Linked DNA regions of Schizosaccharomyces pombe. The protein of the gene in region 2 interacts with the protein of the main gene of each other region in a pairwise test. Each region holds a gene or a part of one and is shown on either strand. Other genes may lie near its edges. The genes, in order: eno101 and sec74.

Region 1 (3,813 bases), on a different chromosome or scaffold from region 2:
CTGTTCTTTTTTTTTTTTTTTTTACTTAAATGCATAAAGCCTATACGGTCCTTAATTTATGACATGTTTTTCGTTCATGACTTTTCTGTACAAATGATTTCCTTTTCTATATGCTTTTTTTTTTTTGGCTTTTCTGGTTCAATATTTTACTATTGTAATGTAGATGAATTATGTTAATAATATTGTTATTTTCATTCTACGTTGATGAATATTATAAATACTAGTAGGTAAGATGCTGAGGAATAGAACATTTTCCAGTGTTAGTAGTAGTAAAGTGACTGATAAAGAGCAAAGGTATCCAAAAATTTTGGCTACACATAAAAATATGTACTAGGTCAAAGACAAATTTCTGTGTTTTACAGCAGATGCACACATTCCAAAAAAAATTAAGATGATTGAAAAAAAAACACTATATAAACGAAAACTAAAATGATCATCTAAAAAAAAAAAGGATGCAAATTAGCACAAAACAATTATATCAGCTACTTCTACTACAACAACAGTTTACTTTAATACTAATAATAAATAAACACGCAACCTGGCAAATTAATCCAAAACGCAAAAAGGATAAAAATTTCATTGCATTCTATAAAAATAAACATGTATTGTAAACATTAGTAAAATTTAATGTATGCTCAGAGTTTAAAACTTAGCAGCCTTGATGTACTTGCCAGCATGGGCACCAGCGTAAACACCCTCGGAACCGAGTTCCTCCTCGATACGGAGAAGCTCGTTGTACTTGGCCAAACGCTCGGAACGGCAAGGAGCACCAGACTTAAGTTGACCGGCACCAATACCAACAGTCAAGTGGGAGATGAAGGTGTCAGCGGTCTCACCGGAACGGTGAGAAACCATAACACCCCAACCAGCCTCGTAGGACATGCGGACGGCGTTCAAAGACTCGGTGACGGAACCGATTTGGTTGACCTTCAAAAGAAGAGCGTTAGCGCACTTCTTGTCGATGGCGGTACGAAGACGCTTGACGTTGGTAACAGTCAAATCGTCACCGACAATTTGGAAGTCGGTCTCAGCCTTCATGTGAGTCCAGGCAGACCAGTCATCTTGGTCGAAGGGGTCCTCAATGGAGACAATGGGGTACTTCTTGGAGAGCTCGACGTAAAGGTCGGTAAGTTGTTGGTAGGTAAGCTTGTTCTCGGGCTTGGGCTTGGCGGCCTTGATGTCAAGGTCGTACTTGCCGTCAACGTAGAACTCGGAGGAGGCAACATCAAGACCAATCTTGATCTTACCCTCGTAACCAGCCTTGTTGATGGCCTCAACAATAAGGTCAAGAGCCTCTTGAGGGGTTTGCAAATCGGGAGCAATACCACCCTCATCACCGACATTGCCGGCAGAAGAACCATAACGCTTCTTGGCAATGGACTTGAGAGTGTGGTAGGTCTCAGCACCCCAACGCATAGCCTCGGAGAAAGAGGGAGCACCGGTGGGGAGGATCATGAATTCTTGGAAAGCCAAGTCACCACCAGCGTGGGAACCACCGTTCAAGACGTTGAAAGAGGGAACGGGGAGGACATAGGGACCCTTGGTGCCAAAGTTCTCGGCAATGTACTTCCAGAGAGGGAGCTTCTTTTGGGCAGCACCGGCACGGCAGATAGCCATGGAGACACCCAAGATGGCGTTAGCACCCAACTTGGACTTGTTCTCAGTACCGTCGAGCTTAAGCAAGAACTCGTCGGCGGCCTTTTGGTCGGTAACGTCAAGGTTGGCCTTAACGACGGCAGGGGCAATGATGTTGTTGACATTGCCAACAGCCTTCAAAACACCCTTACCACCCCACTTGGTCTTGTCACCATCACGCATCTCAAGAGCCTCCCATATACCAGTGGAGGCACCAGAGGGGACGATAGCACGGTGGATACCGGTCTCGGTGGTGAGGTCGACCTCGACAGTGGGGTTACCACGAGAGTCGTAGATTTGACGAGCAAAGACTTTCTGAATGGCCATGATTAACGATGTTTACTGTAGAATACTAATTGATTCTTACTGAAACAAGTCCTAACGGACGGCCCTTCCACTCTATATATACCTGGAGGAAGCGCCGATCCTCTCAATCTTCCATGACATGCCCCTGAGCCCACAGAAGCCGGTGGAACAAATTGGTCGCTTCTTTAAGAATCGTTAACCGGAACGTTAGGGTACGTTGAAGGAGCGACCAAGCGAGCGACGCGAGCCACCGTAGCCAATGTGCGAGTCCAGCGAGCTTAGAAGGGGCAAGAGATGGAGATGAAGTGAAGTGAGTGTGGTAAGGTAATGTAATGTATGGAGTGGTGTGGTGGTGTGGTGTGGTTGTTGGTAGAGAGAGAGAGAGAGAAAGGTAATGTTAGGTAGGTGGTCAAAAGAGGAACCAACTATATGGCAAGTGTTTTTTTTTGCCAAGTAATCAACAGTGTTCCCAAAAGTTGCTTACAACGTGAGTAATCTGGAGGAGGGCCATCTTTGGAAAAGGTCGGGAGCTAGAAGCAGCGAAATTACGCGGACGTCAATACACGAAGCGAGCCGTTTTGTATGTTTGTTGACGAATGTCAGCGACAACAACCTCGTCGCTGCATGTACCGTTCGTTGCTCAGTGCAGGAAACCACCGAGAAAGGAGCGTTACTTGATGCCCCACCCTTCCCTCAGTCGCCCAGTTCGGGTGATGCAGATAAAGGCAAAAGCGGACGGGTTCATGAGATCAGTTGTTCCGAGAGGTCCCTTGATTCGCGGATGTCAGTGGTAGGATGTCATCAAGGTTTAGCAAGTGCAAAGCCGGAGAAATGTTGTGATTGGAGGGGAAAATCTTGTTGCAGGATGGATTGGTTGGACAGATAAACATCAGGATAGTTCCATCCGGAGAAACTTCATGGTGCCATACGGGACACAGTTTGACTACCCTAACGATCACGCCAGAGGTAACGTAACGAAACGGGCATTACCGCACGGATGGAAATTGCCGCAAAGCAGACCATCGCAATGAAGCGGCGGTCGGTGCAGCAGGCAGTTGCAAGAGAATCGCAGTGGAGGGCAATGGGAGGCAAGAGTGCGCAATGAAGGGAAGGAGTGAGCAAAACGAGGCAAGGCAAGGCAGGGCAAAGCAAACTAGGCCAGCGCAGGACAGTACGACCAAGACAGGACAGGATGGGATAGAGAATGATATACAGGCTCAGGTTAGGTCAGGTTAGGTTAGGTTAGGTTAGGTTAGGTTAGGTTAGGTTATGGTGGGTCAGAGAATCACATCAACTCACTCTACTTGAGAATCACATTACAGACGGGATTTAAACATTGAGAATAAAATACTTTAAAAAAATTTTTTTTTGAATTCACTACTACTCAATTGCAAACATCTGCTTGGTCGATCCTTCCTCTGTGTCCCTTCTCTTCCCTTTGTTCTCATTTCTTGTCCCTCGCCTCGTCTTGTCTCGTCTTTTGGACGCTAATCCTCCTGGCTCTGCACCAACCGCTCGCTGTATCAGATTCACAGCAGCGACACGGAGCAGCGCGTTAGCGAAACTCAGCATGCTATTCACTACAAGGTTAACGCGGACCAGCAAACACAAGTGTAGTGATGTGCAAGCATCCCGGTGTCACGAGTTGGTCCATATTCGCGAAGGCTCTAGTAGCGTTGACTATGGATTTGGTTTGGCTATTGCTATGACTTTCGTTATTACTATGACTCTGGTTCTAGCTCGACTCTGACCCTTGCCTGACATACAAATACTTTGCTCTTTTCAAAATGTACCGTAGAGTAATGTTTGGAAATCTTGTTTGAATTTCGATCAAATACAATACTATTGATCACAGGCTTCTTTTTTTTTCAT
Region 2 (5,849 bases):
TAGAATAAAAGGCAATAATGTAAATGACAAAAAAAATTTACTTCTACAAACGAATCTATGAAATTGCAATTCTGCAACTTTATGAAATCCAAATAAACCCGATTAATTTGGAAAAAAAAAAAGTCTTAGATTAAGTAAAATTTAACAATTGATCTCAATTGAGTCCTTGAAATTCTTTTCGCAAGCAATTTCGTCTCACAATCGCTCGATTCCAACTTCACTTCCTGTTTAGATGTAGCAAGAAGAAGGTAAGAGGAATTCTACCGCTACCACCAATATTACTGCTTAGTTTACTGCTAACGTAGGAGAATTACTAACGTACTTCGGTAATAAATTTATGACGCCCTCAATGCCAGATTTTCCTTGCTTTACTAATACCGAGAAACATGATTAATTTGCCATTGATGACAGAATGTCCGACTAAGAATTGCCAAGTAGACTTCCACGCCAACGAGCAGTGTTGAGTATGGGAATGGCAATACTAAGTATGAAATGCCGCTACGTTACACTTGGATATTAGTAATTCGAGCAAACTGACCTGCCAATTTTAAGGATGAATGCGTTTCCTTTGAGCTTTATAGCTGGCGAAAATAAGTTTCTACAACTCTTGCAACTGTTACTTATCCATCTCATTTAGGTAGCGTGGCAGCAGGAGCGGAAGAGTGGAAATAGAGAAAAGGTTTGATAGAAAAGATAGTAAAGAAGTACGGTAGGAGATTGACGGAGGAATGGAAGTATTGAGAAAGGTTGAGTTGAATGAATTGTAGAGACGGTAGTTCAAGTGTGCGAAACGCAATTGCTTGATGGTGCTGTAGCTATCATACTTTGTCTTAATAGGTGACCTTTGGAAACTTGAGATCGACGAATCTTCAAATGTAAAATACTAAAGTGGTAGGGAATTCTTAAGTGCGCAAATTCAATATTGTAAGTGAGTCAGTTAGTTTTGCAGATGAACGATAAAAGAAGGGTTTTGCAATTGATAAAACGCGATTTAAGAAAATGACTGCTAAAGAAATTCAATGAAGATTATTGAGTGAACGAACGGTTGTTGAAAGAAATGCTTTTTCTTCGGAAAACCACCAATTCAATTTACATGTCAATTAATTTCATAAACTTACAGTATCTTTAATCATAACCGTTCTGAGTGTGAAAAAAAAATCATAAATAGAGATGGATTTTTCTATTAATATATGCTTCTCAGCAATTACTAATGGAATAAATGTTTTCATCAATTCGAGTTCCCAATATGCAGATTGAAGGGAAATTAAAGGAAATTCAAGAAACAATCTTACTAAAAAAACTTTCAATACTATGTGAATCGAAATTTCGTTTGTACTCCTTTAGAATATTTTTCTTCGCAAGCAATTTTTGTATTTATCCACTACATCTAGCAATGTTTCGCACAATTGGCTTAGAAAGTTCAATTCCTCCTACAAATACTTATTTTCAATGCAATTCTTTATTTTTCATTAATAGTATATAACTTACTATATGTTTTTTCTCTTAATGTTCTTCTTCATCATTTTTTAGTTCTTTCCATCCATTGTTTACATTAGGATTAACTAGTCGATCCACCCCCACATAAGTCCTCTTTTTTATGGGGGCACTTGCCTCTGCGTTCAGTATTACCAATGCCCGCCTCGCTGCGTACCATTGAATCGTTACATCGTTTCTCACTCATCTTCCACAGTCAATATTTACCCCCCTCATCCTATCATTCAAGGCATAATTAGTTTTATTCATTTCTTGTGCTTAGTAGGGAAAAATAGGTTTTTTAAGTCTTTTCCTCTTTACTGCTTTGCCATTCCGTCGTCTGCTGTAATTATACTCTTCAAGAATCGCTCTCTTCTTCCAAAACGAACTGCGGCTATGATCTACGCTTTTATTATTTAAAAACTTCATTTTTCGCTGAAAAGATACTCTTTTATTTTTTTGTTTAGAAAAGAGAACCCTATCAGTTAATCACAATCATCCTGTGCAATTGCTTCTTCATGAAGTTTGATGTCGTTTGTGTTGCTCAGGGTTTTCGAGACGCATTTTTGTTTTCCAGGTTCTGAACTCTTTAATCGTAGGAAATTTTAAAAAAGTTTTTTTTTTATTTCTTTTAATAAATTTAAAATTCCCTTTTTAATAGAACATGGACGAATCTTCTCGTATAGCTTCTTCTTCCGCTTTGCATGGTTTAGATGAGATGGTTTCTGCTCATAAGCCGTCTCCTCCCCTTCCTTCCCGGAGAAAGGGTAAGTCTGCCCTGCGTAGCGCTTTGGAGAAAAAAAATAGAAAGTCCAAATCTAAGCCAAAAGTTACGATCACTTCGGACACCCCCAAGGTCTCCTCTCAACACTCCCCAGTCTCTTCCGCATACACCGGAGATTCGACTACCGATTTGGATTCAAAATCTGGTCACTCCTCTTCCCAGAAACTTTCCAATAAAGTCTCTTCAGCCTTGAAGCTCACCATACCGAAGCGTTGGCGCTCTTCCAAATCTAGCTCGTCACAATGCTCCTCCCCTTTCTTACCAACCTCCTCCTCCAACGGACATGGCGATGATGCATCGTTGAACTTGCCTGATAAAAAATCACGTCCTTCTAGTCAGTCTTCAATCTTTCTTTCCAATTGGTCGACAATCTTTTCCTCAAATGCTAGTCCCACAGATTCGCAGTTATCTCCAACGCATACCTCTACCATCGCTGAGTTAGCTGCTTCTACTCTTTCAATTTTTCCATCCGGCTCTTATGCGGGCTCGACATTCGGATCTCCTTCCCGTTCTTCAATCGACTCCTCTACCTACTTACCTCGTTCGAAGTCTGTAAATTCTCTTTCTTCAAACTTCAGTGCGCGAACGCCGGCTTCAAATCAGTCTAGCGTATCTGAAGATTTTGGTGCTGCACCAAATTGTGACCATAAACATAATTCTGTTACTCTTTCGGATTTCGCACTGCCAGATATAGATCAGCATGACACCGTTGAAACCATCTTGGAGAAGGTGGAATTTACAATTCCTAAGCAGTTTACTCCTGCCATATTGTCGCAGGGAACTTCATCACTTCTAAAACTTTGCCTGAGAAAGTATTTGTCTGTGGTCAACTTCAAATGTATTTCGTTAGACATGGCTCTTCGCAAGTTTCTTGCTGTCTATGTTCTTCCTAATGAGACCCAGCAAATCGATAGAGTTTTGAGCACATTTTCAGACCAATACTTTCATTGCAATCCCGATTTATACGATTCTTCTGATGAATGTTACATACTTACGTTTTCTTTAATGATTTTGCATACGGACTTTTTCAACATCCATAATCGACAAAAGATGACTCGTGCCGAGTTCATCTCTAATACTAATTTGCCAACCATTCTTCCAGAGATATTAGAATGCTTTTACGATAATATTACCTACACTCCATTTGTTCATGTAGAGCATATTGGTTGTGTTGTGACTTCTCCTTCTAATGAAAAACCATCTTTGTCACAAAGACTAGGAGATTCTCAATTTCGTCTTACTAAACGAAACACATTTGCTACCGAAAGTGACCATCAGGCTTTACAAGAACAGTTGACGGGTTTCCGTATTAATCTAGATTCTATATTAGACTTAAAAAAAATTGACAGTGTCCGTACGAGTATTGAATCTCCTACTCGCACTGCTGATGACTTATACAAAGAGTTTGCTAGAGCCCCATTTTTGCAGATCGTCTCGCACCGATCACAGCCCCAAGCGTTTTCTTATCACTTTGAACCGAGTGCAGAAAGCGAAAGCACCAATCCTGCGATAATAAACGTCAAAGTTTTCAAACTTGGCATACTCATTCAAAATGAGAAGGTTCGAAAAGATCGCCTTCTTTCCAACAGAGAGGTGGGTGTCATTTTAACAAGCTCGCAGTTGATGTTCTTCAAAAACGTATATTGGATAAGTGGATTACTGGATCAGTTGGAAGACTTCAAAAGATCTCATTCTTTTTCTCCTTGCTATTTTTCGCCTCATTTAACTTCACTTTCTGCTGATTACATTATCCCATTGTCTGATTTAGTTGCATACGGTGATGGTTCTCGTATAGAAAATGAACTGTATTCCTTCAGTGTCAAGCAAAAAAATCAGAGAACTCATGTCTTTTCTGTTACTAATGTAGACGAATTAAATGACTGGTTGGTGAAGATAAATTTTGTGAGTACGTTTGCTACTGCGGGTCTAGCTCCTCGTGAGAGGCTTCCGTGTGTTGAATCGTCTGATAAGAGCATCAAGGCTTCCGTTAGTGTTCTTCCCGACATATACGAAGATTCGGATGCGATGTCGAAAGCTTCAAAGGAAACCAGGAGTGAAGTATTAGAGTGTTCCAAAGTTCGTGTGTATATTGTGCAAAATAGAATTTATAAATTAGAAGAAGCTTTAAGGCAGGGGGAATCAAAAATGACTGTACAGAGAAGAAATGCTGCCAATATATTACATCTTGAACCTATTCAATCTCGGACCCGAATTCGTTTAGCAAGATGTTCGAATACGTTGAAGAAAAATATGCTAGCCCAGATGATAGAAATTCAGAAATTTAAAATTTCTATTAAATTCTTGAAGGAGGATTTAGAAATGGACAGTCATCTACAGGATTACCTTCGATCTGTTTTCCCGTCTTCCGTTATGGGAAAAGAAAATGCTAGTGAAGATACAATTTTGGAATCTAATTTCCGTAACCACTCAAATCCTAGTGTTCGAAGAAGCAATCTACGAGTTGGTAAGACTGTGGAGTCTGTGCAAAATACGAAATTGAAGTCAGTTGAAAACGACTCTGGAAAAGCAGAAACTGAGACTGTTGGAAAGAATCCTGAGGTAGTTAGGAAATCGCCTGCTAAATTGCCGAATATTGCTAATATAATGACTGTGAATGGACATCGTTACAGTGTTGTTGAACTCCCCGATGATTTTTTGCGTGAGTAGAGCTATCGTTTGACTTTACAAATTCATTTTTTTAACCCCTTAACTCCATCTTTGGCTTCAGTCTTCTTCCAGTGTTTCCATTTAGCATGTATATTACTATTTTCCTTGTCTGAGGATTAATTTTACTAATTTAAATTTTTTGTTCATATTCATCGCTTTACTGTAATTATTGTGCTACTTTTTATATATAATGAAGATTTTGTAAGCGATAATCCTGTTGTAGTGTTAGGACCTTTTACTTCATAAAGTGTAGAGTGCATCGCTAATGACCGACGCAAACTGTAACTAGAGCGATGGATGAGAGGCGCGAGGAATTGTCTGCAAAATCGACAGTGCAAAATGTTAAGATATCGGAAGCTCCAATCTTAGACGGAAAAGTTAATAATGAAGACTCCCATATGGAAATTGATCAGCCAGAAGGCTCAATGGAAGAAGATGACCATCGTCAAGTAAAAGAAAAGAACACCAGTGAAAACTCAGTCGAACAGAAACGAGGAAGAAGGATGTTCGGAGCTTTACTGGGAACTTTGGGCAAATTTCAGCAAGAGTCGGAACGTGAGCAAAAATCTGCAAGGAAAGTTAAACGCGCGGAATTGGAAGAAAAACTTGCGAAAAGGAGAGAGCAGGAGCTTCAGGAATTAGAAAAACAAGAAAAAATAGAAGCCGAAATTCTTGAAAGTCGGTTACAAGAGCAACGCAAAGTCGCTTTGGATGAGCTGGAACTTGATAGGGTAAGCAATTACCATTTCTGGATTTGAAAGACATAATTCAATGCATACTAACTTTCCAATTTATTTAGAATGATTTAAAGAAAGTTCTGGATAACAAAAAATCTTATTATTTACGAACTAAGACACAGCCTTCCTTATTTTATCGACCGTACTATTTACTTCCTAGCCAGCGAACTCAACTTGAGCAAATGAAG

Evidence for each region.
Region 1: the proteins of sec74 (region 2) and eno101 interact in a two-hybrid assay, tested with the Schizosaccharomyces pombe proteins (one large-scale study listed by BioGRID).

The regions. Positions count from the first base shown.
Region 1 is NC_003423.3:2,199,386-2,203,198, reverse strand, and holds eno101 (enolase), read right to left. Parts: upstream 2,004-3,813; 5' UTR 1,963-2,003; coding exon 643-1,962; 3' UTR 547-642; downstream 1-546.
Region 2 is NC_003424.3:5,181,997-5,187,845, reverse strand, and holds sec74 (guanyl-nucleotide exchange factor Sec74), read left to right. Parts: upstream 1-1,686; 5' UTR 1,687-2,137; coding exon 2,138-4,924; 3' UTR 4,925-5,072; downstream 5,073-5,849. Other genes in the region: pnn1 (putative pinin-like protein ppn1), read left to right, coding at 5,218-5,655, 5,724-5,849. UniProt on the Schizosaccharomyces pombe protein: Guanine nucleotide exchange factor for Arf GTPases, stimulating the nucleotide exchange from the GDP-bound to the GTP-bound form. Involved in vesicular transport.